Linked DNA regions of Alligator mississippiensis. The protein of the gene in region 3 interacts with the protein of the main gene of each other region in a biochemical or structural test. Links are inferred from orthologs where the notes say so. Each region holds a gene or a part of one and is shown on either strand. Other genes may lie near its edges. The genes, in order: RFWD3, RAD51, RPA1 and ATM.

Region 1 (7,911 bases), on a different chromosome or scaffold from region 3:
GCAAGGTTTGCATGGCCACCAGGGGGCCATCCCTGGAGCACAACTTGCTACAGATGCACAGTGTCCAGTCCAGTGAAGCTGATACTTGAGAATTACCAACTCAGTGCTGGTAACACTGGCTTCAGCAGGGATGCTGGTGTTTGTACAGCAATCTTTCCATTTGATGTGGAGGATTTTCCAGAGGCATTGTTGATGGTACCTCTCTAGGTTCTTGAGATGATGATGGTAGGCCACCCATGTTTCACATCTGTAATAGGAGGGGAGGGGTAATGGCTGCATTGTGGACCTGGATCTTGGTGTCTTTCTTGAGATTGCAATTATTAAAGACAAAAAAATGCAATTTCCCAAAGGAGACACTTGCACTCCAGATCTTGAACTGGATCTCCTCATCAGTGTTCACTCTCTGAGAGAGGGGGTTACTGAGATAGGGGAAGTGCTTGACTATTTCCAGGGTCTTTCCCTCAGTGATAATTTCATGGCCTACTGCAGGCTGATAGACTACTTTAGTCTTCTTGATGTTGAGAGACTCAAAATTCAGTAGGCTTCTCCACAGATCCAGCGTGGTCTGGAGGTTGTTCTCAGTGTGCACAAGGATGGTGCAGTCCTCAGCATATTGAAGGTCAGTATGGTTGTTTTGAGGACTCTGGTCTTTTGAGTGAAAACATTCCAGATCTATGCAAAGAACCACTTTGAAGAGTGGTCTCATTACCCTAGGGGTGATTCATTTTCAGTTCGGGTGCTAACAAAAAGTTAAAATATTTGTATGCTGAGAAAGCTGAACCAATGCCAAATGTAACAGTCCTGGTTTTTCTCCAGGTTTACCTTAAACCTTACTTACCCCTTTGTGGTCAAGAATGTTAATGTTAGTGCATTTTCATGAAGGTGAATACTTCAGAAAAAGAGCTTTTAAGAAGACGTATACCTCAAACTTAAGAGCATGCCACACAAAATTAAAACCCTGAAATTAAACAAGTGCTACAGCAAACAAAGATTTCTTACTCTTCAGATTGTTGTTATCCGATGATACGTTTGTAGTTAGATTCATATCAGACTAGAATTCTACTGATGGCCAAACTTCTGACTTCAATTTCCAGATCAAAGATGGCATTGTCCATTTCAAGGATGGCACCTATGTCCCACATGGTCAGTCATGACTCCAAAATATTTGAACTCTGTTATGACCCATCCCTTTTTTGTCACTTTAAAACATTTAAGTAGGTGCCCCAACATTTCTGGTGGCCAAGGATATTCTTTAATAAGGACACAATGTGAAATGGCATTTCCCCTCATGCCATTAACAACCACATTTCAACCTGGGATATTCACTTCCATCTATTTCATTTGTTGACCTCCCCAGCTCTGAAGACAACAGCTGTTCTAGTCATTGTTCAACTAATTAATGTTATATTTCATCCTAGAGTCCCTACCTAAGGAAAAGGCACAAACCTGTTTGAATGTTTTCTTTCAGACCTCATGATTTACAATCTAGCATTGCTACCAAGAGGCAAGTAAAGCAGTTTTAGCATCAACTTATGAAACTTCTGAACACTGAACAGAAATAACATATTGACTCTTCCATAAGAGCTTATAGTAATTGGCTGATGTGATTGCAGAATTGCTGGCCATTATATTTGAAAACTCTTGGAGCTTGGGGAGGTCCCAGATGATTGGAAAATGGCAAATATAGTGCCCATCTTTAAAAAAGTGATGGAGGAGGATCCAGGGAACTACAGACCAGTCAGCCTTACCTCAGTCCCTGGAAAAATCATGGCACAGGTCCTTAAGGAATCCATTTCTAGGCACTTGGAGGAGAAGAAAGTGATTAGGAATAGTCAGCATGAATTGACCAAGGACAAGTCATTCCTGACTGTCCTGATTATGTTCTATAATGATAACCAGCTCTGTGGATGTTTGGAAAGCAGTAGGCATGATATACCTTGACTTCAGCAAAGCTTTTGATATAGTCTCCCACAGCATTCTTGCAAGCAAGCTAAGGAAGTATGGGTTGCATGAATGAACTGTGAGGTGGATAGAAAGCTGGCTAGATAGGTGGGCTCAACAGTATCAATAGCTCAATGTCTAGATGGCAGCTGGTATAAAGTAGAGTGGCCCAGGGGTCCTGGGGCTGATTTTTATTCAATATATTCATTAACAATTTGGAAGATGGGATGGAGTGCTTCCTCAGCAAGTTTGTGGATGACACCAAGATGGTGGGAATAGTAAATATGCTGGAGAATAGGGCTAGGATTCAGGGTGACATCAACAAATTGGACTGGATCAAAAGAAATCTCATGAGGTTCAACAAGGACAAATGCGAAGTCCTACACTTAAGATGCTAGGATCCTATACACTGCTACATGCTTGGGACCAACTGGCTAAGAGGCAGCTCTGAAGAAAAGGACCTGGGAGTTACAGTGGACGATAAGCTGGATATGAGTCAACAGTGTGCCCTTGTTGCCAGGAAGGCTGTCTCAGACGGCCAGAGCCAAGTTGAGGTGATCTACAAATTGCTTGGCCGTTGGGTGGGCTGGTGAATGGAGAGGCAGACAAAACGTATTGGTTGCAAAAAGGCTTTACTTATGCCGCTAGTAGCCGCGACGCAGGTGGTCCGATCGCTTAAATAATTACACGAGTTGCTCCAGCTGGCAAAAACCCAGGCCAGCGAATCTGTAAACGAACCAGGCATGCAGGAAAAGGGGTACGTCGAGGGATAGCATTCGGCGATGGGGAGAAAAATCGATAGTTGATCAGGCTATCGATTCGCTCTGCCACGTCAGGAATTCTTTTAAGTCACTCTGCAGCATGCTCAAAGTTCTCCGACTTGGGCGGAAGTCGCACAGAATTTTATACGGCTAACAAGCCAATCGCTAGCCGCCACATAGGAATAATTTAGAATCAGCCAATGATAGGACACAAATTTGCATACAAATGGCGGGAACTCTCTTGCACCAGAGTTTTCTATTGCAACAGAAAACTTTTGCTGTGCACAGAGACTCTCATGTGGCGAGAAAAATTCCATTGTGCCGAGGCACTTAAAATCATTGGGTTATGACAAAGGCTAACAGCATAGTGGGCTGCATTAATAGGAATATTGCCAGCAGATTGAGGAAATTATTCCACTCTATTTTGCACTGGTGAGGCCACATCTGGAGTATTATGTCCAGCTTTGAGTCCTCCCCTACAGAAAGGACGTGGACAAATTGGAGAGAGTCCAGTGGAGGGCAATGAAAATGGGTAGGGGGTTGGAGCACATGGCTTATGAGGGAACTGGGCTTAGTCTGCAGAAAAAAAGAGTGAGCAGGGATCTGATACCTGAAGGGTGGTTCCAAAGAGGATGGAGCTAAACTGTTCTTAGTGATGGTAGATGACAGAACAAGAGCAATCGTTTCAAGTTGCAGGAACGGAAGTTTAGCTCAGTTATTAGGAAAAACTGTCTCACTAGCGGGGTGGTGAAGCACTGGAATGGGTTACCTAGTGAGGCTGGTGGAATCTCCATCCTTGGAGGTTTTTAAGGGCCAGCTTGACAAAGCCCTGGCTGGGATGATGTAGTTGGGGATGGTCCTGCTTTGAGCAGGGGGTTGGACGAGATGACCTCTTGAGGTCCCTTCCAACCTTAATTTTCTATGATTCTAATCATGCAGACCAGCAGCATCAATCAGAAGGCACCAAGTTTTGCTTTTGGCAACAGGGTATGGCTGAAGACAGAAACTCATCTGCATTTAACCTTCAAGCAAGTTGTGCCAACAATAAATTAGCTTATTCAAAGTCCTTCAGCAAATCATCCCAATCACTTTCAAACTATAGGAAGCTAAGTACATGAAAATGAATCCAGCAACTCCCTCTCCTTCCTCTGTTTGGTCATTGCAGCATTGGAGGTCATCAGATGCTAGCTGTAAAAAGGGGTTTGCAAGTAGCCCATTAGTCTCCTTCCTTTGCTGCTGCCTTGTTTGGCTTAGCAGAACAAAGGCTGAGAGGGGATGTGATTGTTCTCTATATACAAACTCATCCAGGGAGTAAGCACCAGGAAAGAGTCAGAAGATATAGCCCACGTGCCAGATCTGACCCATGGTGGCCTATCATCTGAATCATATTGCTGCCCGGGGGTCTCAGATTGGACCAGGGTTGCAGACTCAGACTGGTTTGTGCTGTATCATATCTGCTGCATGGGCCAGATCCTGCACATATGGAGCTAGGTCCAGCACTTGCACTACATGTGACGCGTGCTGCCTGTAGTGCTTGCACTGGAGCAGCCCCGTGCTCTGGATCCAAAGTGCAGAGCTGGTCTGTGGGCCGGCTCTGGTCCCCCGATCAGCCCCGCTACTCATCCGACCGTCTCTGTGCGACTTACCCAGCCTGTGGGGCTAGATGCGTTTGATATCCCTGCTCTAAAAGAAACGTAAACCAGAACACATCCTTATAAACTCATCGGAAATATATTTGGCCTGGAATTCGGAAGTTCTCGTAGCAGCGTGAAGAGCGATGTTGTCGCCGTGACAGTCCCCAGAACACGTGAGGCGAGGACTCCTGAGGGAGACATTTCTTACTAGACCAACTCCGTAGCTGGTACAATAACAGGGCACACCTCAGAGATCCTCGTCTCCTCGCAGGCAAGTGCAAGAGCTCCCCCCGCCCCGCCCGGCATTTGAATGCAAGCTTTCTCGCGCCTTTTACCTCGTCAGACGGCTCCTCCAATGAAAATGCCCTTCCGGGCGCTGTGTCCTGCCTCCGATTTTGCTGATCGACAGGCAACTCGCCAATCATAATTGAGCGCTGGGGCATCATTTCTGCCCCGTGCCGCCGCGTCGCCTGTCTGGCCAATAAAAGTAGAGTGTGTGAACCTCCCCTCCTCCTTCCTCTCGGCCCCTGGCGAACGGGCCGCGTCCGCATCCAATAAGAATGCTCATTGCGACGGCGGGCTGTCCAATAGGAGAAGGGGTTGCGTTGATGGAGGGCTCAGCCCCTCAATGAGGTGGCGGGGCGGGATGTGAGGCCGCGGCGGGAGGCGATGGCGGCTGCGGCGGGACGGTTGGAGCTGGCGGCCGCGGCGCGAGGTGAGCGCGGGCTCGGCCCGCACAGACGCGCTGCTCCGTCCCGGCCGCCCCCTGCGGTACTGCGAGGGGCGCGGGATCCTGCGGGCAGCGCCCGGCCGAGCCGCCGGAGCCCGGCCCGCGCACGGTGTCTGTCTGGTCTCCGGGGCCGGTTCGCCGCTTTCTTGCGCTGCCTCATATTGACGCGTGCTGAGATGAGGTGGATGCGGGCCAGGCTGGCTCCCCCTTCCCACCGCTGTCCTTTGCCCTGAGGCAGTGCTGCGGGTCGGCTCTGCCTGCTGCAGCCCCAGGCAAGGAGCACGTAATGGCTTCTGTCTCTCTCACCAGGATGTAGCAGGGGTGGCAGCTCCAGCCGTAGCTGACGGCCAGGGCTGCCAGCGCTGTGCCGGGAGCCAGCATGTGCTCTGTGCCCTGGGCCAGAGTCAAACCCAGAGCCGCAGCTCGAGGCATGGGGTGAGGGGCAGACTGCTTGACTCCTCCAGCACTTGCCCTCATGATGCTGCATTGCTCATTGTAGTGGTGGGGGAGACAAATTTAACATGACCCTCCAATAATGAAGTTTTTCCACATATGGGAGGCATGGGCAACGGCAGGATGCTGCTACCTGCTCAGAAATGCAGGCTGTGCAAGGCTCCGAGCGGGGGTGGGGGCTGGGCCCCAGCTGCACTGGAGCAGGCAGCAGCAGCACTGGGAGGGGCAGCTATGGGATGGGCTACAGCCATTTCATTTCTCTGTAGCCCCTCTGCCCAGCACCACTACCATCCACTGCAAGTGCTGGGCTCTTCCCACCTCCTGAGGAAGAGCCCAGAACAGCCTCCAGCCCCAGGCGCATAGCGGCAGCCCACCTTCACCCCGCACGCAGATCTGGGGGGGCACCTGCCCATGCCCCCTGGATGAGCCATGGCTCTGTCCCATATCCTGCCTCACCCCGACCCTCTCCCTCACCAAGAGGACCCCAGTTGCCTGTCCCCCCCCAACAGACTTACTGGCTGAACAGTACTGTCAGGCTGCACTCCTGGCTGTGTGCATTAGGGCTCTGAAGCTTCAGTTGCCGATTTGATTTGGAGGAGATTCAGCCCGATTCGGCAACCAAATCTCTGAATCCAAATCGAATCAGGAGGCCTATTAAAAGGTCTGAATCAAATCCAAATCCTCTGAATTGATCATTGATCCTGATCGACCAGGGAGAGGCAGGCACAGCTGGGCGGCTGCAGGTTCTCCTGTAGCTCCTTTGGCTGTGCCTGCCTCTCCCTGGGCGGGGGGAGCCATGGGAGAAGCCCCCATGGCTGTCCTCCTCGGCCCCATCCCCTGCACTCACTGGCTGCAGGAGCAGCGATTGGGGCCTCTGAGGACTTGTGGCAGAGCCCCCCTGCGCAACAGGGGGCAGCAGGGATTGCCTCCCCACACACCTGGCACCTGTGGGGAAACTCCCCAATGGTGTGTGTGCAGTGCCGTGTGCTATCTGGGAGCTGGGGCCGCTGGGGCTGAGCGCTGCCAGGCTCCGGCTGACTGCTGGAGCTACCCCAGCTCCCAGACAGTGCGCACAGGGAGCCACGCTGCTCCCGTGCAATGCGACAGCTGCCACGCAGGTGCCAGGTGTGGGGAGTGATCCCTACGCTATACAGGGGGCTCTGCCACAAGCCTTTAGAGGCCCTGGTCACAGCTGCTACAGCCAGTGAGTGTGGGGTGCTTTTTTTTTTTAAGTGCTGGGAGGCTCGGCCAGGCGAGGGATGTGGCTGGGCAGGGCAGCTATGGGGGCTTCTCCCATGGCTCCCCCCGCCCAGGGGGAGGCAGGCACAGCTAGAAGAGCTGTGAGAGGGCTTGTAGCCACCCAGCTCTGCTTGCCTCTCCCCAGCTGATCCGAATCTCCAATTCTGATTTGACCAAATTGAATGGGGACAGTGATATGAATCACCGAATTGAATCAGTGTCCTCCGAATTAGCCAAATCCGAATCGAATACTTCCTTATTCGCGCAGACCTTGTGTGCGTGCTGCAGCTGTGCACACACGCGTAACATTTATCAGTGACATTATCAGCCACATCAGCCAAAAAAGGCTGATTGCGTTTAATGTCAATTTTCCTTTTTTCGATGTCGATACCATATAGACTGATATATCAATGTACCTCTAATGTCTATTCATAGATTCATAGATGCTAGGGTTGGAAGGGACCTCAATAGATCATCGAGTCTGACCCCCTGCATAGGCAGGAAAGAGTGCTGGGTTCAGATGACCCCAGATAGATGCTTATCTAACCTCCTCTTGAAGACCCCCAGGGTAGGAGAGAGTACCACCTCCCTTGGGAGCCCATTCCAGACCTTGGCCACTCTAACTGTGAAGAAGTTCTTCCTAATGTCTAGTCTAAATCTGCTCTCTGCTAGCTTGTGGCCATTATTTCTTGTAACCCCCGGGGGTGCCTTGGTGAATAAAACCTCACCAATTCCCTTCTGTGCCCCCATGATGAACTTATAGGCAGCCACAAGGTCGCCTCTCAACCTTCTCTTTCGGAGGCTGAAGAGGTCCAGGTGCCTCAGTCTCTCCTCATAGGGCTTGGCCCGCAAGCCCTTAACCGTACGAGTGGCCCTTCTCTGGTCCTCCTTCCTCCCCTTCTTGAAAATGGGGACCACGTTGGCCCTTTTCCAGTCCTCCGGGACCTGGCCTGTGCGCCACGACTGCTCAAATATTACCGCCAGTGGTTGCGCAGTGACGTCAGCCAGTGCCTTCAGTACCCTCGGATGGAGCTCATCCGGGCCTGCTGACTTAAAGGCATCCAGTTCCTCCAAGTGACCCTGCACCATCTCAGGGTCTATCTTATTCACAAATATTCATTTGTATTTTTCACCATAGTATCTGAGAACGTTA
Region 2 (7,547 bases), on a different chromosome or scaffold from region 3:
TTAGCTTAATAAACAAACACTTCAGAGTATTGTTAAAATGACTTCAATTTAGCAATAAAAGCATTATGACAGTGTGCCTTTTTAGTACATTTTTATTCTCTAAGTTATAGACTTCATCATTTTTCCAGGACAACAATCTTAGTAGTCAGTGATAATGCTAATTCCCCACCACTTGAGGAACCAATCAGATTCTACTTCAGTATCAATAAATCTGCGTAATTCGTCTCTCTTGCCTCCACCCATCTTTCTAAGTAGGTATAAAATGGCCCAAGGTTTTGAAAAAGCAGCTAGCACTCATGGATGTACAACTAGTGGTGTTTTAAAGGGGCCTCATTTCAGAAAAGGCTGGATATCCAAAACACTGAGCCTCTCAAAGCTTGCTAGTCACTTTATAAAATTGTGGTAAGTAGCTGCAGAGTTCTGAAATTCTTTACAGGTACATAAACCTTTCATCCAAATGCAATTACCAAGATTTTGTCAGCTTTCGCTTCACTGATGCCTTTAATATTAAGTAGCTCCTTCTTCGGTGCATAAGCAACAGCCTCAACTGTGTGAAATCCAGCTTCTTCTAACTTCTTCACATCGTTTGCATGTATACCACATTGCTGAAAGGAATAAAAAAATACTTATGGTAGGTACAGTGTTTTGAAAGAGATACTGAAAGCCTAGAAACCCTCCAACTGTCTTCTGTAAGGACTGGATCAAGGAAAAGAATACTGAATTCCTCATTCAGTTACACCCAAAAAATAGCTGAATAGACTGTCCTCCCCCTATGAATTCTCCTTTACACTATGCACTGTTTGTGCAGGTCATTATCAGTACCAAAAATAACATGGAATAGGAAGCATACGTGATTCTCTTTTTGGCTATCTAGGCACAGAAGGAGTAGTAATACAAAGCCATGTAAATAACCATGATTTTTAATTTTTACTAATGAAGTTTTAAACAAGTTCAAGAAAAGGAGACTATCTTCAGACAGGATATTCACAAGTTAGTTGCATGGTGTGGTACAGAATGTAACCTCTTTGCTAACAGTTGCTGATTTACTTTTGTTTTGATGTACTTTATACAAACCACAGATCAGCATTTGTCCACCTTTCACATTAAATACACCTCAAGTTAAGTTTTGATGCTTTCTGTAACACTTTGGACTGGAATTTTTTGACAAAAATTAGCTAGGCAAAGCTAGTGGCCACTCCTAAATACAGTTCTCATTGAAGAATTGTTTTGCTGCTTGCATGGCAGCTTGTTCTTCAGATAGTAACTCATTCCATACCTCCAGCCTAGATATCAGCTGGGGACCAAAGCTCTCTTCCTCTGCTGATGTATCTGCATTTGCTTCATATTGCATTTGCATGGCCATTACACCAGGTCTTCAATAAATCCCTCCTAAGGAAAAAGATACATGTAACACACTCACATGAAAAAAGAAATGTTCAAACAAGTCTCTCTTCTGTCAGTGCCACAACCAAACACTACTTTAACAGCTTCTTCATAATAGCATACAATAGGTCTCTCCCACCCCACACAGCTCATACTAATTCTTTGCATCTTTGAAGGAATAAATCATTCATTTCTAGGCACTCTTCTCTCTGCACAGCAGCTTACTAAAAAACATTCAGGTCTTCTAATAAGAAATAACAGGGGATTAAACATAGAATTCTAAAGTACTTTTTAAATCTACACGAACCACAAGATATCAAAAATCTCTTTATGGGATTACTTAGTAATACACAGTACTATCTGAGCCTCCATGTAGCACCAAGCTTCCTTGTCACATTAAAAGATTACTTTGAAGATTTGAATCAAGACTGTACTTCAACATCGTACTTGACGTTGGCTGTCTTCACGTAACTAACTTAACTGCCAAACTGCACCGTATCAATACCAGTTCTAGTGAAGCTAGAAAGCTAGAATAGTGATTTCCCCCTATCTGCACCTCCCCCCTGCACATTTCTTCTGAGGCTTTGTAGCTCTAGATTGACATGTTAAATATCAAGCAGAGGCAGGGTACAGAAATCTGCAGCAGGTAAGGACATAAGGACTTGTGATGGAAAACAGATCACTCCATGAATGACATGGCCAGTATCATCAGTTCGTCTTACTGATGGCAGCAGAAAAACAGTTTGGGGGGTGCAGGTGCTATGTGTGCATCTCCACACTGACTACCTCACCTGAAATCAGAGACGTGCCTGCAGGAACATGAGAATTACCACGAGCTGGTTCAGAGGCGACGTCCACCCGATGCAGGAACAGGCGCTTCCGAGGAAGGTGGAAGAGCTTCACACCACCACTTGCTTGCTGATCCACCTCCTACCTCCAAGCCGGGACCTAGCCATGACGTCACAGGACTGTAGCAAAAAGGTGGGCAGGGATCTCTCAAGTCACGTGGCCCAGCCCCCGCTCAGGCGGCCGGTCCAGCATGACACTGAAATGCCTGTCCCAGGTCCTGTCTACCCTGCTCCTGTGGCCCACCCAGCAGCCGCGCTGCTCACAGCCTTCTCTGCCTGCCCTGCGCTGAGGTCCCTGCCTGGTGGCGATGAGGCCTCCCCTGGGCCCCGGGGGGAACGACAGGGGCTGGGGGGAAGCAGGAGGAGCTGACACCCCCCAGCACAGGGGGCGCGACCACCTCCCCCCTCCTGGTGTTTCCACCCTGCCCTGGTCCCCACAGCCTGCAGCGCCCCGTTGGGCCCCAAGCGAGGCCCAGGCACGCGTCACGCGTTTACTTATTGACATCACAGCGCTGCCGTGACGTCACGCCACCTCATTAGGCTTGTGGACACCGTTCACACCGGGCCCAGCAGCCCTGGGTGGGGCCCAGCAGCGGTTCGCGCACAGCCGGCTCCCCGAAGAACTCCTCACGTGGGCCAAGGCGACCTCTTCCCCCGCGGGTCCGGGCCCTCCTCTCCTCTCCTCTCCTCTCCCCCGCGCGCGCTCGGGCCCGTTGGCGGCCGCCGCCCGGTTTGGAGGAGCCCGCCACCACGTCACGTGACGCGTGTGGGCAGGGGCCTCTGCTCGCGCAGCCGGGGCTTCAGTCCTCGCTCTGCCCATGCGCGCCGGGAGGGGGCGGGGTCCTGGCCGCGTGACTCCGCCCCTGCCGCCTGTGAGGACCCTGGTACGTCGAGCCGTGGGGACTGCAGTGGCCTCTGCACGTGCCCTCCTGTCGGAGCCGGAGCCGGAGCCGGAGCCGCAGCCGCGCTTCTGGCTGGGGAGCCGTGCCGGGCGGAGGCTGAGGGAAGCCTCCCGGGGATGAACTTGAGCAAGCCGGGCAGCCTTACGTGAAACTGATTAACCAGCCTAGAGCTGAAGGTTGTGAAGACGGGGGAGGGGGGGAGGGCATTAGGATTGGGGCAGGGAAATGGCTGAATTCAAGTAAAACTATTGACCAAAGTAGAGGCGATCTCTCTTATTAGACCACCTAGACGGTTGCAAAAAACGTGTCTTTATTTGCACGTTTCCAGGCTCACGCAGCCTCCTCAGGCAGAGGAGAATGCAAAGACTGTCACATTTCTCCCAAGTGGAAATGAAAATGAATACTGCACAGGAGAGCTGGAGGGTGACCAAAGCATCCATGTGGGATGGGACAGGTTAAGCCTCCTCCCCGTGGCTGCCCTTTGCCCTGCTGAGCTGTGCTCTGTGTGCACAGCCAATACCTAATTTTTCTGCGGGAATATAGAGAAGTCCATCAAAATGAACCAGTTAAAGGGCCCTCTGCTTGGCTCCTGCAGTAACCAAATCACATACACATCTAGTAAAATGCCTGAACTATTTAATTCATACTTTTTACATAAAATATTTTTCATGAAAGAAGCAAGACAGGCGCATCAGGGTGCAGTTCAACAGGAATACCCACGTGTCATTGATGTATAGATTATAGGTGCTAGGGTTGGAAGGGACCTCATCAGATCATCGAGTCCAACCCCCTGCCTAGGCAGGAAAGAGTGCTGGGGTCAGATGACCCCAGCCAGATGCCTATCAAGCCTTCTCTTAAAGACCCCCAAGGTAGGGGAGAGCACTGCCTCCTTTAAAAGCCCATTCCAAATTCTGGCTACTCTCACTGTGAAGTTCGTCCTGATGTGTTTTAGGATGAACAAGATTTATGTGATAGTGTTGGAGCAATGTAGCCACAATGGTCCAGGAGCTACAGGAGAGGCAAGGATTTTTGTGGCGATATCTTTTATTGAACCAGCTTCCTGTTTGGGTTACACTTAGACAAACTTTCACATGCAAGATATTCTTCATCTGGTGACTGGCAAATACCAGTAATTAGAATACCAAGTTTCACAAGGAGAACTTCCCAGCTTGATCATGGTAGTCTTGGATTGTGGTGCATCCCAGCAGTCACTGGTTTGAGATAGGAATGCCTTTAGAAGTCTAGCTGTGATCATGTTGTTTGATTTCGTACATTATAATTTGGTGAAGCAGAAGAAGCTTTAGCTTCTGTGACTTGAGAGACAATCTAGTCAGCCTCTAGGATCAAACTCCATCAGATAACTAGGTTATCTGCAAGGCATTCTAAAGTTTGTATGGGCATGTCCACATGTGTGTGTACATTTGGTTCCCTGATGACAATTAGCAGTGGTGCACCTTGTATGGCAGGTTGCCCCAGGTGGGGTAGGGGTGGCTGGGGCAAAAACTGAAGAAATCGAACTAGAATTTAATATATTCAAACAGCACACACCTGTACCCCAACAACCAGGCTTTAAAAGTTTTAAAATGTCATAAGGTTTCCTCTCATAAATTCCTAATAGTATTGAATTAGGACTGAAAGACGTTGCTCTCTACTCGAGATTTACCGTTCCTGCCTGCCTCCATCTCATCATTTATTTGTATTATACCACTGCAGTTTAGCACCTGAACAACAGAAGGGAGAAATCTTTAACTTGTTTGTAACGTAGCACCTACACTTGTGACACTGAAAAGGTAATATCTACTAACTATAATTCTGAGGCTTTAAGTCATCTTGCTTAACATAACTGTCTGTTGTGCATTTGGCAGGAGTCATCTTAAAATCGTAACTGCCTGATTTCATAAGTGCTGCTACTTGCAGGGCCTGCTTATTGATCATCACCCACTCATATTAAACATGTACAAACAAAAGCACCATTTCCACAGTAAATTTTTGATAATGAGGCCTTGCCTATCTCACTATTTTTGGTATAGGCTTGGAGGTAAGGCAAGAGGCAAATGTATTTATTTACAAAACTCTGCAACACAGAAAACAGATCTTTAGCTTGAGGAGGAAATGGGCTGCAAGCAGGGAAGACAGGAAAGAAAGGAGAAGCTAGAATCTTTCTCACTTAGAAAATAAGCCTATTTTCCTTTTATAGCTGAGCAATTCCCAACCCAAGAAAAGGGTCAATCCCCAATTCAAGAAAAGGGTCATGGATGCACGAGACTCATTACTGAACTTTGCTGACCCCATGGCTAGAAGCTGAGAGAACAGTAAATTTGTGGCAACTGTTACCTGACACCTAAGCCATTCATCCTAGCTGCTTTCACTTGGCTGGAAAGGTTAAGAGCAGTTTATTGCTGGAAGCAGCTACTCCAGACAGGCTGGAGAGCTTCAAGTGTCTTAGAACTATAAATAAGTGATCAGAAACTGGTTTAAACCTGTAATAGAACAGATGTTCAGTGCACATAAAACAGTTTGAAAATGGCTGAAACCAGTTTGATATAAACCTGGTTGAATGTAGTATCAGACTTAACTGATTTGGCTCAAACCAGTTTATGCAATGTCCATCCCTGACCTATTACTTCAAACTCTTCTTCAACAGCTTACCGGCTGACCTGTTGATTAGCTACAAATAGCCCTAAGTGGTCACTGTGCTGTCTGCCTGTCCCAGTGAAATTGGAGAGAGATGCACAGAGACACCTCTCAGCATTAACTAGCACACCACGTGCCTAGGGTCCATGGGGCTGGGGTCCCTGCTATGGGAGATGAGAGGGAGGGGGGAGAATCCCTGCTTGAACAGCAAGCAGTGGGGGAAGGGGGCATAGGGCAAGGTAAAGCCAGGCAGACCCTGTTGTGTCTGCAGTCTCTGCGGGAGCTCCAGCCAGGGAGCAGAGGGGAGGGGCTAGTCCTGCTGTGGAACAGAGAGCCCTGCCCAGGCCAGACAGCATACCAGGATGCTGGGGGAGTCTGGTTTATTTTAAACCAGCAAGGATAGAGTGTGGTTGGGAATTCAGAAGTACATTTAGAGATGGAAGGCAGGGCAGGGTAGCACCTTAGAAATTAATTGGTTTAAAGACAAGGTTCTTTGGGTAAATGTAATCTCTTTTATTTGACCAACTAAATAGTTGGAAAAATTGTTCTTTGTAAACTTTCAGGCACAAACACACTTCTTCAGGCATAGGGAGAGTGCTGTTTTGTGTTCTGGGTGGGACAGAAGGCAATATTAAAAATGCAGGTCAGTGAAAAATGCAAATGCATGGCAGTGAGGATCAGAGGCCATGGGCAACTGGTGCCTCCTGAGTCAGGGGGGGCACTTATCCCCCCAGCAGCCAGTCATCAACCGGGCCAGCTAGTCAGTCCCCTGCAACTGATCCCGCAGATGTGCTGCTGACACTTCCAAGTGAGCACAAGTGGCTGGGGGGGGGGGGAGTTACACTCAAGGGACCCCTCCATACCTTTTGCAAATTGAGCAGCACCCCATTTTGAAAACTAGTTTATTGTAGACAGTTTATTAATGGCACTGAGCATGTACTTATCTCCTCACAACCAGTGGTATTCCTTAAGGATCTCACAGCCATGGTTAAAATTTGCTGCTCTAACTTCTATTCAGGACTGATGTATATCTAATCCCAAAGCAGGTTGTCTTTGTTTTGTCAGTAATTTAAATCAGTACACTTGTTGCTTGCTTTATTGCAGAAGTGCTCAACCTTCTGGCATGTGGACCACATGAGGTGGTAAATGGCCAGTCCATGGGTTGAATATGGCATGCAGGGTCAGTCCATGGGTATGATCTATGTTTCTGGTCCAGCTGCACATACTGGCCTGACACCACATGCTGGTCCAACATCACACACCAGCTCTGGCTGTGGGTTGGTACTATCTAGTGCACAGCACCATGCTATCTGGCCTGTGGGGCTCCCCATGGGTCTGGAAATTTGGCAGCAAGAGAGCTACAATTAATGCTGCCACTGCTCTCCTGCTGTCATAATTTTTGGATGTGTGGGGAGACCCAGGGGCCAGATGACATGGTCTCACAGGCCTGAGGTTGAGCACCCCTATTCTATTGTGTTAGGACTTCATTTGGCACTCATGTAAATGACCAAAAAGGCAAAAACATAACACAGGAGCAGCAACACACAACATCAACAGTGCTTCTATCCTATGATCAGATTTTCAGAAGCTTCCAGTGACAATTAAGGGCGGGGACACAAAAGACAGAATTTATAACAGAGCACAAAAGGGGCCTTAATCATCTTGTGCAATCCTTCCCAGCTAGTTAGTTTAATCCAGTATGAATTTGATTTACTTGGGGTGTAAAGATTGGAAACAGAATGGACATGAGAGTTAAATGTTTTCTGCATTTACCAATACA
Region 3 (7,108 bases):
TCATTACCCTCTATTCTCTAAAAGGGACCATTCCTCCCATGACACTGTGCCCCTCTCAAATTTCAACCTTTTATCTCCATAAATGTCAAGGACACCTGTCCAAAGAATATTCAGGCTTGTGTTTCAAATAACACATAATGTACTTCTCTCTACCCAATTTTCTTCTTTAATAACTGAATTTTTTTGTCTCAACTTTCAAAACCCCCCAAAGGGAAAGCATACAAACTGGAAAAAATATCCCACCTGCATGCTGCAGAGATCAAAACAAAAGATTAAAATGGAATCACGTAGGCAAAATTGTATCAGGATTCTATATCCTCCCCCCCCCCCCATGATAATTAGCTGTTTCTTATTAATGGAGTAGTAACATCATGAAAATTCAAGACTTCCCCATACTAGATAGAGACAGAAACTGACTGTTTGGCCTTGGGTTTGTATATTAGAGAGAGACACTATACAAAAGTTCCACGTGCAGAAGAGACATTAAGGAACTGGAAATCACAGCTCTAGACAAGACAATTAGAGCCGTGCAACTTAGGCATACAGTAGCAGTATGTCTGAAAAGACCAGAGGTTTGCCTGCTCGGATGACACCAGGCCTCCCTTAATTTGGGGATGGTTTAGACAGCGACGATCCTCTTTGGAGGACAGAGTGGACAAGATGACCAGCCCTGTTTTTCTATCACTTGAAATTTGACTCCCCTTTTTCACTAAAGTACACAGCTGAAAGACCAGCACAGCAGTAAGTCTCTGAAACAACAAAATGCCTTTGTTTGCTAAGTTACCTACCTTCATTGTATGGCACTGGATCACCAATATTTCCACGAACCACATCAGCAGTTTGCAGAACATCTAACTCCATCAATATAACCACTCTCCTAAAAACAGAACAGATGGCAAGATACTCTACGGTTATCTGTCTTTGTCTGTCATAGGCTGCAAGTTTCTTTTTTGCATATATAAAGGCACTACAATCAGTACAGAATAGATTCCCTGGGGAAGGTAATGTCAGGAGGAAACAGCTTCATTACCCACCGGTTTACAACATTCAGTAAATGCAAGCAGAAATGGCGTGGGCTGAAACAAAACAACCTGAACAGTGCACATGAAACAGAGATGGGATAACGATTATTGCTATTTGCAAAGCCCTAAAAACGGTACCAGATTCCTTATATACTACCTGTCTCAAAAGTGCACACTAAATACAACTATGCATGCAATACAAAAGGCAACTTGAAGGAGAAGAGAAGGGTGGCAGTAAAAGTTACCAAGATTTTGCATGTGCCTGAATTGCGAATAATTCTGAAGTTTTTGTTATTTTGTCACAGACTGCAATGGGGCGTTGGGGGAGAAAGCAGTCCTTTAGGTATGTCAGGCCCAGACAAACTGGTTACAACCAGAACTCTGAATTGCTCCCAGAAAACTATAAGGGAGCCAGTGCCTACATTATGAGAACCCCCTGGATACACCTGTCCACTTCCCCCGGAACGAAGCGCTTGAGCTCCTCCCTTTCACCCGCTCCTTCAGCCAATTCTGTGAACACAAATATCGAAACAAACAAAAATACCTTCCATCTTTCAGGCTGTTAACAATGAATCTGTTCACCTGGCAGACACAGTGGGCAGACAAGCGCTCCTCTTCGACTAGAGAGTTCAGCTGTGTTGCCAACATGAAAGCTGCAAAAGAAAAGAAAAGAAAACCCCTCCGAAAGCTGCTAGCAAGGGACAGTACTAAAATGGCTAATTGCAACTTCTCTACTCCGACAAGTGGCGCTGAATAGACCTAAGGTGTGCACATTATCACGTCAGCCAGCAAGAGTCATTTCCTGGGCATAAGCTGCACGTCAGCCACCCAAAGCTGGAGAACGGACTACAGCGTTCAGGCAGCGATTAACGTAATCAGACACGTAACAGAATGGAAAATGATTCAACCGAGCTGCTAATTCCTCTCGGACCTCAGCGCGCGTAGAAGACTCTGCTAACGACGGAGCTGCTGCCCACGTTTTGGGTGGTCCGCGGCAAGACACCAGAACAAAATGACCGGCCCCAGAATCGAAAGGGACAGCCCGCACCACGCCCGTGACACCCCGGTGTCGGCTCTGCCGCGGAGGCAGAGGCACGTTCGCCCGCGCGGCGTCGCACTTACAGGACAGCGTGTTCACCCCGTCGCTCATCAGCACGCGGTAGCGCGGAGGGCCGCTGCCCGTGGCAATAGCACGCGTGTTCTGCAAGGGAAAGGCAGGGGTCCTCAGCCCTCAACCCACGCTACTTGTGACACACACGGCGAGGTGACACCTCGTCTGCAGACACGAATGGGGGGGGGGCTTTTTTTTGTGTGGCTTTGCCAGCAACTGAAACGCATTGTCGCAGGCCAGGTGCAAGGAGCTGTGCACAGGACATCTGCTCCCGGCCCAGCTTCCCCCGCCCGAGTCACGCCAGGGCGCAGGCCTGGCCCGCCCGCCCCCTGCCCACGGAGCTGCGGCGACCGGGAGCAGGAGGACGCTTGTGCGAATACTCACGATGACTTGCAGCACGGGCTTGGACACGGGCTCGCCCTGCATGATGGCCTGGAGAGGGACGAGAAGGAAGAAGGTCACACCTGGCGCCGCGGGGACAGGACCGCAGCTCCCTTCTCCCCTATGGCCTCCCGCGTCTCTCGGCCCGTCGCGAGCGGGTTTCCCTTCCCAGGGGCCGGGTGGGAAGGGCCCTCAGCAGGGCCGAGCGCCGGGGGTGGCTCGGCCCCCCGCACCCGGGGGCTGGGCGGGGCGTTACACGCGGGCCCCGGCCCAAGCGAGGGGCACCCGCCGGGCACGCGGCCCCTGGCCCGCCCCGGGGGACCCGCGCGCTCCTGCCCGTGAAAGACGAGCCGGCTCGGCCGCGAGGAGCGGGAAGCCCGCGCCCCTCACCGCAATCGCGCCCGCACTCAGGCGCGCGGCCATGGCGACAACAGCCCGCTCCTGCTCCTGCTCCCGCCGCGCCAAATCCCCCGCCCGCGTGACCGGAAGTGCCGCGCCGCTATTGGATGAGATGCCGGAAGTGCCTATGCCGTACGGCGGAAGTGCCGCGCCGCTATTAGCCGGGGTGCGACGGATGCCGGAAGTGCTAGTGCCGTACAGCGGAAGTGCCGCCCTCTATTAGCCGCGGTGCGGCGAGTGCCGGAAGTGCTGGTGCTGTACGCCGGAAGTACCGGTCCGCGGGCAGGCGGCCGCTGAGGGGACATGGCGCTGCCCGCGGAGCCGTGGCGGGTGCATGCGGCGCGGCGCTGGGAGACGCTGGGGCCCGCGTTGCGGGCTCAGCTGTCGGGCGCGGCCCCGCTGCGGTGCTGCTGGCGACTGCTGAGGTGGGCGGCGGGCCGGGGCTGGGGGCGGCGGCGCGGCCCTCCCTCTCCCCGTCCCCTGACGCGCTGTCCCGCAGGCCCGAGGACGAGGCGCTGCTGCGGGCGCTGTGCGGGCGGCGGGGCGCGGGCAAGGAGGCGGCGGCCGCCTGCTTCTACCGCCAGGCCGGCAACGCGCGCTTCCGCCGGGGCGACTTCGCGGCCGCCGCCGCGCTCTACTCCAAGGTAGGCCGCGCCGCCCTTTCCCTCCCCCCCTCCCGGCCCGGCCCGGCCCTGACCGCCGTCCCGCTGCCCGCAGGCCGTGTCGCACGCGGCGCCCGGCGGCCCCGAGCTGCCCCTGTGCTTCGCCAACCGCTCGGCCGCGCTCTTCCGTCTGCAGCACCCACAGGTGAGCCCGCGGCCGGGTGCGCGGGTGGGGCGGATGGTTGCGTGTTTTTTCCCCCCCCCCGTAAAGGCCTTTTTTTCTACCGCAGGCGTGCTTGGAAGACATCGAGAGAGCTCTGGGCCAGGGCTACCCCGCCGGGCTGCAACCCAAGGTCCTGCTCCGCAAAGCGGAGTGCCTGCTGCTGCTGGGGCGGTCGCGGGACGCGGCGCAGGCCCTCAGCGTGGCGGAGAGTCGGGTCGCCGGGGACGCGGGTCTGACGGGCGGTGCGCGCCGCGCCCTGCTGAGCCAGATCGAGCAGCTCCGAGCGCAAGCCCGCGAACGGGAGGGCGACCCGGCGCCGGTGTCCGCGGCGCTCGACGAGGCTCGGGAAGGCCGGGAGCCCCTGGAAGAGAATAGCGACCTCCCGGGTGCGTCTTCCTCCGTGAGCTTGAGCTTCGACGCTTCCCGGGGGCGTCACTTGGTGGCTGCCCGGGGTATCCTGCCGGGAGAGAGCCTGTTGAGCGAGGAGGCCTTTGTAAGCGTGCTCAACCCGGGGGAGCGACTGCTGCTGCCGGACGGTGTTGAAACCACGTGGGATACCAGTATCGCTAACGAGGACCTTTACTGTCACCGCTGCTTAAAGCCGCTCTTGGCCTCCGTGCCCTGCAGAGGCTGTAGCTACGCGAAGTACTGCAGCCAGGAGTGTGCGCGGCTGGCATGGGAGCGCTACCACCGGACAGAGTGTGCCCTGGGGGCGCTGCTGCTCACGCTGGGGGTCTTCTGCCACGTTGCCCTAAGGACGGTTCTGGTGGCTGGGTTTGCAGAGGTTAGCAGGCTGGTGAAGCAGGCTTATGGAAACGACCAGGAGTTTCACGGTGCCGAGACGGGCAGGAAATATGCTGATGAGACGCCGAACTCCAGATCTGGTCGCGAGGGACCGTGTGAGAAAGGGGAGTCCCCGATTCCTGGGTGTGATGGCCGTGGGCAGTACCAGACTTCTTACCAAGCTGTCTTCCATCTTCTGCCACATGCTGAAAAGCACAGCCCTGAACACAAATTTCTTTGCTGCCTGAGCGTGGTAGCGCTGTGCAAGCGACTGCAAGAAGCCGGTCTGGAGGCCACCTTCCTCAGGCAGGGCTCACCTGAGAGCCAGCGCAAGGGGGAAGCGTGTGAGACGGTGTCCGCTGAGCTGGAGGTTCTGGGAGAGGCAATGCTGAGGCATATGTTACAGCTGCAGTGTAATGCACAAGCCGTGACTGGAATCCAGGAGTCAGGTTGGTGAGAAGCCTTCGGCTCTTCTCCCCTCCTGTCGTTGTTTGACTGTCCTGTGGGAGGAATGCAGGTCCTTTAAAGAGTTCCCATTACCCGTGGCTAAGTGTCCCATTTCCTTAAAGCCCTGCGGTCACTTTCACAGGGAAAGGTCTGTTTCACATCTCTAGGCCTTGCACGATGTAGGGCTTGGAGACCTGCTTCTCGCCTGGATGTGGAGGCTAAGCATATGCTTCTTTAAAAATAAATAAATGCATGTCTTAATACATGGCCAGTAGCAACGAAAACAAGATGTTTACAGCTGTGTCCAGAAGGATGAAGTTTAGGAAATCTCTGATTCGTCTTTGAATTTAAATAGGGAGCTGACTATTGAAGATAAATGCTGCATTGTTGGACTGTGAGGGCAGGAACTGCCAAATTTAGTTGAACAGTTTTTTGTTATATTAAGGTGATGAAATGTCTTCTTTACTATCGACTCTTTAAGACTAAGCATAGTAACTGGCATAAAAGCACTGTAGATTTACTTTTGTTGCACTCCCTGATCTGTTTGCCCCCTTTGTGTTTGTGTGTCTAGGGTGTGGAGATGGCACTGTAGTAAACAGGGAGCAAGTACGTCTGGCCACAGCCTTCTTTCCTGTGCTCAGCCTCCTTAACCATTCCTGCAACCCCACCACTAGTGTGATGTTCAGTGGGACAGCTGTCACAGTCAGAGCTTCGCAGCCAATTCCAAAAGGGCAAGAGATTTTCCATTGCTATGGTATGTTATAGTCTCACTTTTTCTGTACTACTTTCCCAGAATAATACGTGTAGGGTACATGAGTCACCTTTCAACTATGACTTCCTTCCAAGATCCCAATTCTAAACAATATTTATACACGCTCACACGTGTGAGCACACGCATCCCCCTCTTTCCCTCCTTCCCCCCGTTATGGTCAGTATTTTATTTCTTTCATATTTTGACAAAGGTGGGGGTGGTTTTAGCTGGTAGTCAGGTACCTAGCTTCATGGTTTACGTAATGCACTCTACTTTTATTTTCTTCTGCAGGGCCTCACAGATGCAGAATGGGGGCTGCTGAGAGACGGCAGCGACTTCTTTCTCAGTATTTCTTTGTGTGTCAATGCCAGGCCTGCCGAGAGGAGTTAGGGTCTGATATCACCTGCATACCATCCACAACAGACACATTCTGCTGTCCCCACTGCCAAGCTTCAATGCAGGTAACTGTTCAAGAATCAAAACTTATGCAACTCTTAAGTTTGGTAGATCCTGACTGCAAAATAACAGTGGAAAGTATGAGTCTGAGTCTAGCACTCATGCTTCTATGACCTGTAGTGCTGCAGAATTAAGGAGGTTCTCATTGTTCTCAAAGAAACCCCTCTGAAAGATTCTGGCTTGGACTCTTCCAGAATTTCCTCGGGGCATGTTTGCCAAGATCCTTGATCCTTGAGATGTTCCCAGGGTCTAGAACTAAGAAGAGGGTATTCACACAGAGACTGTCTAAATTAGGCATAGCATATCCTGTGGAAAGGTGACCTGAAGAATAAGGTGGAGCTGTTGAGTCAGGCAGGAATTAGCACTGCAGGGTTGTATTATCCGGCGATTAGGTGGGTGTCTAACACCTCACTTTGCCTTGATCAACATTGACTCAGTCTGGAAGCTTTGGTGGCGCTGTGCCTACAGCTTCCTTTCTGTTGTCTGGGGAATGTGACACTTGCAAAGGGACAGGTGCTTTTGTTTTAATGTGCAGCTGGGAAGCAGTGCAATGGCCTTGTAAAGCAATTCAGGGGTGCAGAGGTAGAAAACTTAAAATTGCAGCATATTCCACTTTCAGTGCACAGCCGCCAGACTGGAAAAGGCTATGTGCTTACCCTGCGGATACACTTAGCACAATATAATGTAAACAGTGCTGTTGAAGTACTGAGTGCTGGTAGTGATCCGGTATTAGCTGCCATGAAACTTTTGTTCCCTTCACTGGCTCCCCTCGTTGTTGAGACTTCTAAGTTTCAGGATTGCTGTTCTAAGCCCTTGGATGGCAAGTATGCCATCCATTTCAAAGCTTCTAAAAGCCTTTTTTTCAAAGCCTTTTTAGATCTACTAAGTGGTTCATATATGTACCTAACACTTGTTACAATGCAAGCAGTAGGC
Region 4 (7,454 bases), on a different chromosome or scaffold from region 3:
GAGAAGGTCATACAGGACCTGGTCAAAAGCACTGCTGAAGTTCACTATATCAACAGCATTCCCGTCATCCACCCACAGAGTTACACTGTCAAAGGAAGAGATCAAGTAAATCCACGCTGACTGCTTGTGATCAACCTTTTCTCCTCTAGACGCCTGCCAGTGGACTTCCTTAGGATATGTTCCAGTAACTTCCCAGGTATTGAGGCGAGACTAAGTACACTGTAGTTTCTCAGGCCCTCTTTTTTGTCTTTTTTCCGGTCCTCTGTTACCTCGCCCACCACCCCTAACTTTATAAATATTATTGCTAAGGGGACCAAAATCTCCTCTGTCAATTCCTTTCATACCCTGGGATGATGTTTATCAGACTCTACAGAGTTGAATTCATTCAGACCCAATACTCTTTATTAGGTGTCTGGCTCCAGCTTAAATGTTTTTATGACATCTAAAGCAAAGAAGCATTGAGTAGCTCCACCTTCTTTACATCTTCTGATTAGAGTGCCCCCCTCCCTGTTACTTAACAGTAGGCCTACAGCTTTCTTGATCTTTCTTTTATAGCCCAAATACTTATAGAACCTTTTTGTTGTTTTTCATCTCCCTCACCAGGTGCAGCTCATGCTTTATCTTTGCCTACCTGATTCTGTCCCTGTAGGTTCTTACTACTTCCCAGTAAGCTTTTTAGGTGACCTGTCTAGTTTTCCATAGCCTGTACGCTTTCCTTTTGCACTGGATGCATCCTAGAATCTCCTTGTGCTGTCACATTGGTCTCTTGTCATTTTTCTTGCGCTTTCATCATGTCAGAACAGTTTTTTGGGGGTTTCCAATGCTGTGCACTTTAGAAGCTCTCAGCCCTCCTGGGTGCCTTTCTTCTTCAGGCTATCTTTCCAAGGAACCATGCCTATTTGCTCCCCGAGCTGGGTGAAATACACCTGTTTGAAATCTAGCATCCTACTTTTGCTGATGCCATGCTTTCCTCATCTCAGGACCTAGAATTATATCAGATTGTGATCACTTCCTCCCAAGTTGCCCATCACCTTTCACATCCTCCACCTGTTATTTCCCGTTGGTCAAGACAAGATCCAAGACAGATGAGCCCCTAGTTGTATCCTCTACTTTCTGGAACAGAAAGTTGTCTTCCACACAAGTTAGGAATTGGCTCGACATTTTGTGTTTGGCTGTATTGTTCTTTCAGCAGATGTCGAAAAATTAAGTTTCCTATCCCATAGCTTTTGGAGACACCTTCTCTTCCTGATTTTGTGGCCTACAATAGATCCACACCATTATATCAGTGCTGCATCTTTCACCTTTCCTCTTCACGCAAATCCATTCTGCTCCGCTATCTTCTTCCTACTGAGTCCAGCAACAAGCGTATGTTTTTGACATAGAAGGCAATACCACTACCTTTTTTCCCCAACCCCATCATTTCAAAACAAAGGGTAACCCCCTCAGTGTTGACATCCCAGTAATAAGAGGTGTCCTGCCAGGGCTCTGTGATACCAATCAGGTCATAGTTCTTTTCACAGGCTGCAGTCTCCAGCTCTTCTTGTTTCTTCCCTATACTTTTTGCATTTGCATCCACACATCAAATGTATTTTGTATTCTGACCTATTCACTTCCCTTCTGCACCACTTGTTGCTGTCCTGTGACTCACTAGTGTCTTCCCCTCTGCACTATGTGGCTTTTTTGTTCACCATCCCCGCTGAACCTAGCTTAAAGCCCTCCTTACTAGATTGGCCAGACCATGTCCAAAGATGCTCTTTCCAGTTCTGGTCAGGTGGATCCCATCTCTTGATAGCAGGCCCTCTCCCAGAACATCTGCCTGCTGTCAAAGAATCCAAAGGCTTCACATCAACACCCCGGTCCCAGCCACATGCACTTCCAGGGCATGATGGCCCCTGCTTGCCTTACAAAGAGAGGATCAACCAGAACGTCATTCGTGCTCCCAGATCATTTATCCTCCTGGCCAACTTAAGTAACAGATTGTAAGCATAAGCACATTTGTTGTCACATGTATCACCTCAGACCATTGAGCAAAAAGATAAATAAAATAATGATGTAAAATCTGCGTTTTCCCTCATTTTGTGCTGATAGTTATTTTTTTGTAAACCTTTGAGATTAAACAGACAGACAAACTGGTTTGAGCCAAATCAGTTAAGTCTGATACTACACTCAACCAGGTTTTTCTCAAACTGGTTTATGTGCCCTGAACGTCTGTTCTGTTATAGGTTTAAACCAGTTTCTGATCACTTAAACCAGTTTAAGTGTAATGTCTGTCCCTAGCCTAAAAAAGAACTAGTCCGGTTTCACATCTGCCCCTTGTCCATTTTTGTTCAAGGTTCTGGAGAAAGCCGAAAACAATGATTATTATTGGAAAGTTTTCAAAATCATGTAAATATTTGTGTCCAGCTTAAAAACACTGTTGTCAAGAAGCCAAATTTAGAAACACCTCTTTAACTGGCAGAATTTACCTGTCAATGCCCTTCATGGGGGGGGAGGGGGGGCGAGATTTCTGGCAGAAGTGACAAACGAACACCACACCCTCCCCTCAGCACAACACCCTCCCCGGAGAATTAGCTGGCTGCTCTTTCTGCTCTTTGCTCCCCACCCGACCTGCTGCTCTGCTTTCTGCCTCCTTCCCTGCGTGCCCCCGCCCCATCTTCTGCTCTGCTTTCTGCTCCCTACCCTGCCTCCTCCTGCGCTGCCTGAGCCCTGTGCCCGCTCCGCCAGGGCCGCACGCACGTGCCACAGGCGGCCTCCCTGGCTCGACTTACACGAAGTCCGAGCCGCTGCCAGAAAGAACCGCTAACGCACCCGCCAAACCAGCTCATCAAACCCTCCCCGGCCTCGCACCCGCTCAAGCCGTCAAGCCGCGGCGCCGTGCAGCCGTGGGGAGCGCGGAGGCCTCCCCGCACTGATGAGCGGCCCGGCCGTACGAGCGCAGCCTTAGTCCGGCCCCACCGCTGCCACGCGCCGCCGCGGGCCGTTACCGCGGCAGCCCCACCCGCATGCGCACTACGCCTGCCTCGCAGCACCAGCGCCAGCAGGGAGGGAGGGGTAGTGCCGGAAGCGGTTGTGCAACTGCGGCTTCCGGCGGAAGGGGCGGGGCGGGTTGCGCGGGTGGCGTTTCCGCGCTCTGCGTGTGGTGCGCGGGGCGGCCGAGCTGCGAGTGCCGCCGCCCGCTGGGGCCATGCTGCTGCCGTCCGACGTGGCCCGCCTGGTGCTGGGTGAGTGCGGCGAGACTCCCTCAGCGCGGCCTGTGTCTGCCTCCGCGGCCTGGCCTCAACCCAGAGACCCGCCCCGCCCCGGCTCCCTGAGGCCTCGCGGTGCTTTGGCCCTGTGGGGAACCCGGCGCTGCCCGGGGGGCTGTGCGGCGTCGGGACCCGCCCGCGTTGTCTCCTGGAGTCTGAGGAGAATAAAGGGGGCGAAGGAAACGAGCCGCTGGTGCGCGGGCCGCCAGGAGGCGACGCGGGGGGGAGGGGTGCAGCACTCTGGCTGCGCCGCTGGGACAGAGCCGGCCAAGCACAGGGCAAAGCCGCTTCCTCGAGCGGCAAGTGACATGATTGAGGCTGCCGACCCCCACAGCCTTTCTGGCTCTGTCTCCACCTTGCAGTTGGTCCAATGAATGATCGTCCCTCCCCCAAGAAATCTGCTCTTCTCTCCCCCCCCCCCCAGCATTGCTCTGGCTGCCAGGCCAATTGTGCGTTTTCCTGTGAACTGGAAGACCAGCTTGAGAGAGCCTCCTCCTACCACGGGCTGGGAGCCTGCACCTTCGAAAAACATGATTGTGAGGTTCAGGGCTTGTGGTAGAGGTGATACCTTTTATTAGACCAACAAGAATTTTGCAAAAAAAAAATTCTTTCATTGCAAGCTTTTGGGCACAAACACCTTTCATCAGGCATTGGAGAAAAGATTGTAAAAGTTCTTTTGGATAGGAATGAAAGTTCGTATTTCATAGGATTTCACAGATCACAGAGGAGTCCATAGATGAAAAACTCCTCTGGGCAGGCAGGTCTTAGCTGGCTAAGAGTCTCTGCCCTCTTTTGTGAGGCTCTGTGATGATGCAAATTAGCTTGAGCAAAAGCAAGAGCAGTGTTTCAGGTGGTCACAGTTGCTTCCTCTTTGGGGAAAATATGAAGATTTAATTTCAAAATCGGCTAAAATTTGATAACTTTCGTGTGTCAGGTTTTGCAAAAATCTTGTTGGACTAAAAGATATCACCTCTACCATGAGCTCTGATTGCTTTTTCCTCTATACCAATATGGCTATAGCCTGGATGCCCGCTTGTGGGTTAGCATAACAGTAGAAGGCGGTCACTTTAAAACGGTTATTTTGGGGGATTGCTGCATTTCTGACAGAGCCCTTTAACTTTTTCAATACAAGAATGAGAGGCCAGGAATTGAAAAGTCATAGGCTTCAAACCTATGGAGGCATTGTAAGCAGTGCGTGTAATGAGACTTAATTAAAGTTGTACTAGATCTTATCTTCTGTTGCTCATGGCTTGGCCAAATAGGCTCAGTTTTTCCGAAAGGTGCATTTGCCTCCAGCTGGATCATTTCTAAAGTCCTGTTTGAAATGCTGGAGCTGTTTCAGAGAGCTGAGTTAGGTGGGGAAATCTATTGCTTTGGTTATATTAAAAAATAAAACTTACAAACTATTAATCTGATCTCAAGAATCTCTGCTCATTTAGCATCTCATTGCTACCTGGCTGCTACCCTGTGATGCTGTGAAAATAAACTTATTAATATTTGTAGAAAAACTAAAATGAAACAGCAAAAGCACTGGAGAAAATTCTGCAAGAAAATTAGGATTTTTGTGGGTGGTAGCTGAGGAAGACCTGACAACAAAGGGTGCTGCGGTTCCTAAATCTCCTCCATATCCCTTCCAACTATACAGTTGGTCCAATAAAAGATACCACCCACAAAAATCTTTGCTTCTCACATTTTTCCTGGGCCATCACAGCTACAAAATCACCCCAGCACTATTGCAAATAAATTATTGCCCCTTACGACTGCTTTTGGATTCAGTAAGTAAGGCACAGGGCATTGCACGATAAGGAAACAAAAACACAGAATAGCTGCAAACGCAGAGTGTTGGTCATTCTGTGTGAAATACAGGGGTCTATAGAAAAATATTTTCTGATCATGGAATGAAATAGGAATGCATAATGCATGCACACGAGGGATCAAAGTCATATTTTACAGGCAACATTAGCTTTGGCATTTCCTAACTTCTTGGTGCTTGATTTTGTAATTTGTCTATGTGCATAGCATATATATCCTTAACTGTTGTAAGTCAGAGATGTAAGATATGGTTCTACTTCCTTTGACCCACAGAACACATTTGCAAAACTTAAAAAATGATTGTAATATGTTACATACCAGTTAATCACTTTTGGGACATGTGTAACTTAAACTTCTGTAATGCACAGCATTGAACAGTTAATAGAGTTTTTTGGGGTTTTTTTTAGCTTTCATTGTGCATCAGATACTGAACACTATTGTGGACACGGTGGAAAAAGTTTTTGGTCCTATCTCTTTGTCAGTTCAAAGAATACTATTTTCTACGTGATAATTTGGAGTTAACATGTTTGGTAGTTGAATCCCATAAGAGACATTTAAAGCCAGAGTGGCCAAATCACCAGGGGCCAACCATCTTCAGCATAAAATAAACAACATGCCATACTAACTTTTATGGCTCAGTGGTCTAGAATCATTCATTCAGATAGTTTTTTTCCTTTCTGTTTGGTACCTGAGTTACTTGAATGTTAATATAAAATATTAAAATATCATTGGTTTGAGACTTTTTGGAAGGTGGAAGGAGTTTTTCTGTATATATCATATTAAGGCTGGTGAGAGAGCCCGAGTTGTAGGAGTACCTAAAGTATAGCTGATTCACCAACTAAAAGCAAAGTTATAGCATGGACATGTGTTGCTTTTCCCATGTCTATAAATATCTATAATGTCATCTTTTGGGAGAAAGAAATCATGTAAAATATTTTTATATTGCATTTGTTTTCCGGGTTTGGAACTTCAAAACGTGCACAAAAACACTTGCTTATTGTATGGCAATGTCTTTTAAAGTTTACTGCAGAGTACCATTTTTATTTTAAAACTGGAATATTCAGCTCACATTTGACTTAGTCACTTGAGGCAAGACCTCTATTTTTTGCCTGTAGGGTACTGTGCACACAAATGGTTTCATTTAACAATCATTTCTTAGCTGAAGAGTTATTTATGTACATGTAGCATGGTGTCAGTAAAGCTGTGTGACATTATCTACTGGAGAGATGTGTAGAAAGGTAGCTATTCTTTCAAAACATAACACAACTCGTGTTTTCTTGAGTATTTGTCACTTGAGTGCTTAGATGATTGCACAGTAAGCTTACTGTATTATGCTACATAATTGTATCAGTGCATTGACACCTATCAAGTGTACCTTGTAAAAAAGTGAATCAAATCACATACCTTTGTCTTATTTACTGCAGGATATTTACAACAAGAAAAACTTTCAGCTACCTGTCGTGAGTTTATATTGGAAAGCTCAGATTTAAAAGAATATGCAGAGCACTGTACAGAGGATGGGTCTGTTCCAGCTTGTTTATTGGTAAGTTTATATTTGAAGCACGTGAGATAGAGTTGAACCCTAGTACATTCCAAAATATGTACTTCTAAAATAATTTATTTAAGTTTGCACAGACTTCTATGCTTTCAGAATGGTTGTAACATCTGCAGTGTTCAAGACATTTAAACAGTACGACCGAGTAACTTTTTTTTGGTACCCTGCATAAGGGGTTGTATATGAACAGCTGTTTTTTCCTACATTCTTAATATAACAAACATTGGACATTGACCCAGACACTGACAGTTTTACAAATCTAAGAATAAAATAAGTGAGCGGTATTCATAATGTACAGTTACATGTTTTGTTATTGTAAGCAAGGAATATTGCCTTTGATACATATTTCCAGGAGTTAAGTACTATAGTTATTCAGACAGTTAAATCACTTGTACCTGGTTAGATACCTGATCAAGATGACATCCCTGCTGCAAGCTCTTGATTGAGAACATAACCGATTTTTCTGTTGAATTTGGGATAGGAGGCTTGTCTCAAAATTTAGAAGATGCACTTGAAATGAATATGGGCAAGGGGAAGAAATCTGTTTGCTGTAATTACAGAATGATGTATCTGCTTGTATGGACTCTCCTCAACTGACTTGCACCTTGTAGGAAGAAAGCTTTGGGAATCCCATGGGGGTTCTAGGCAAACTATAGAATGGGTGACAACTCTTGATTCTCAGTGGCCACATCTACATGAGTAGCCAACTGCGCAGTTGTTACTGCTCAGTCATTTAGTACTTGCTTAACCAAGTACTAAATGACTGTGCAGTGATCAGCGTTATTGCGCAGTCCCGTCGCCACATGGTTATTTTTAGATACTACTGCACAGAAGTAACAAGC

The links.
Region 1: the proteins of RPA1 (region 3) and RFWD3 form a complex in vitro, tested with the Homo sapiens proteins (3 studies listed by BioGRID, with this or other methods). The link is inferred for Alligator mississippiensis from reciprocal best matches to the Homo sapiens genes RPA1 and RFWD3.
Region 2: the proteins of RPA1 (region 3) and RAD51 form a complex in vitro, tested with the Homo sapiens proteins (2 studies listed by BioGRID). The link is inferred for Alligator mississippiensis from reciprocal best matches to the Homo sapiens genes RPA1 and RAD51.
Region 4: the proteins of RPA1 (region 3) and ATM form a complex in vitro, tested with the Homo sapiens proteins (3 studies listed by BioGRID, with this or other methods). The link is inferred for Alligator mississippiensis from reciprocal best matches to the Homo sapiens genes RPA1 and ATM.

The regions. Positions count from the first base shown.
Region 1 is NC_081833.1:40,708,366-40,716,276, reverse strand, and holds the start of RFWD3 (E3 ubiquitin-protein ligase RFWD3), read left to right. Parts: upstream 1-4,911; 5' UTR 4,912-5,005; coding exon 5,006-5,051; intron 5,052-7,911. UniProt on the Homo sapiens protein: E3 ubiquitin-protein ligase required for the repair of DNA interstrand cross-links (ICL) in response to DNA damage. Plays a key role in RPA-mediated DNA damage signaling and repair.
Region 2 is NC_081825.1:240,951,061-240,958,607, forward strand, and holds the start of RAD51 (DNA repair protein RAD51 homolog 1), read right to left. Parts: upstream 3,014-7,547; 5' UTR 2,863-3,013; intron 2,857-2,862; exon of another isoform or gene 2,764-2,856; intron 2,744-2,763; exon of another isoform or gene 2,727-2,743; intron 2,352-2,726; 5' UTR 2,175-2,351; intron 1,390-2,174; 5' UTR 1,364-1,389; coding exon 1,277-1,363; intron 606-1,276; coding exon 468-605; intron 1-467.
Region 3 is NC_081837.1:557,764-564,871, reverse strand, and holds the start of RPA1 (replication protein A 70 kDa DNA-binding subunit), read right to left. Parts: upstream 3,012-7,108; 5' UTR 2,938-3,011; coding exon 2,905-2,937; intron 2,566-2,904; coding exon 2,518-2,565; intron 2,224-2,517; coding exon 2,145-2,223; intron 1,676-2,144; coding exon 1,567-1,675; intron 878-1,566; coding exon 789-877; intron 1-788. Other genes in the region: SMYD4 (SET and MYND domain-containing protein 4), read left to right, coding at 3,217-3,338, 3,413-3,557, 3,631-3,720, 3,806-4,970, 5,540-5,722, 6,011-6,180. UniProt on the Homo sapiens protein: As part of the heterotrimeric replication protein A complex (RPA/RP-A), binds and stabilizes single-stranded DNA intermediates that form during DNA replication or upon DNA stress.
Region 4 is NC_081824.1:436,970,275-436,977,728, forward strand, and holds the start of ATM (serine-protein kinase ATM), read right to left. Parts: upstream 3,001-7,454; 5' UTR 2,809-3,000; exon of another isoform or gene 2,769-2,808; intron 1-2,768. Other genes in the region: protein NPAT, read left to right, coding at 3,185-3,221, 6,482-6,600.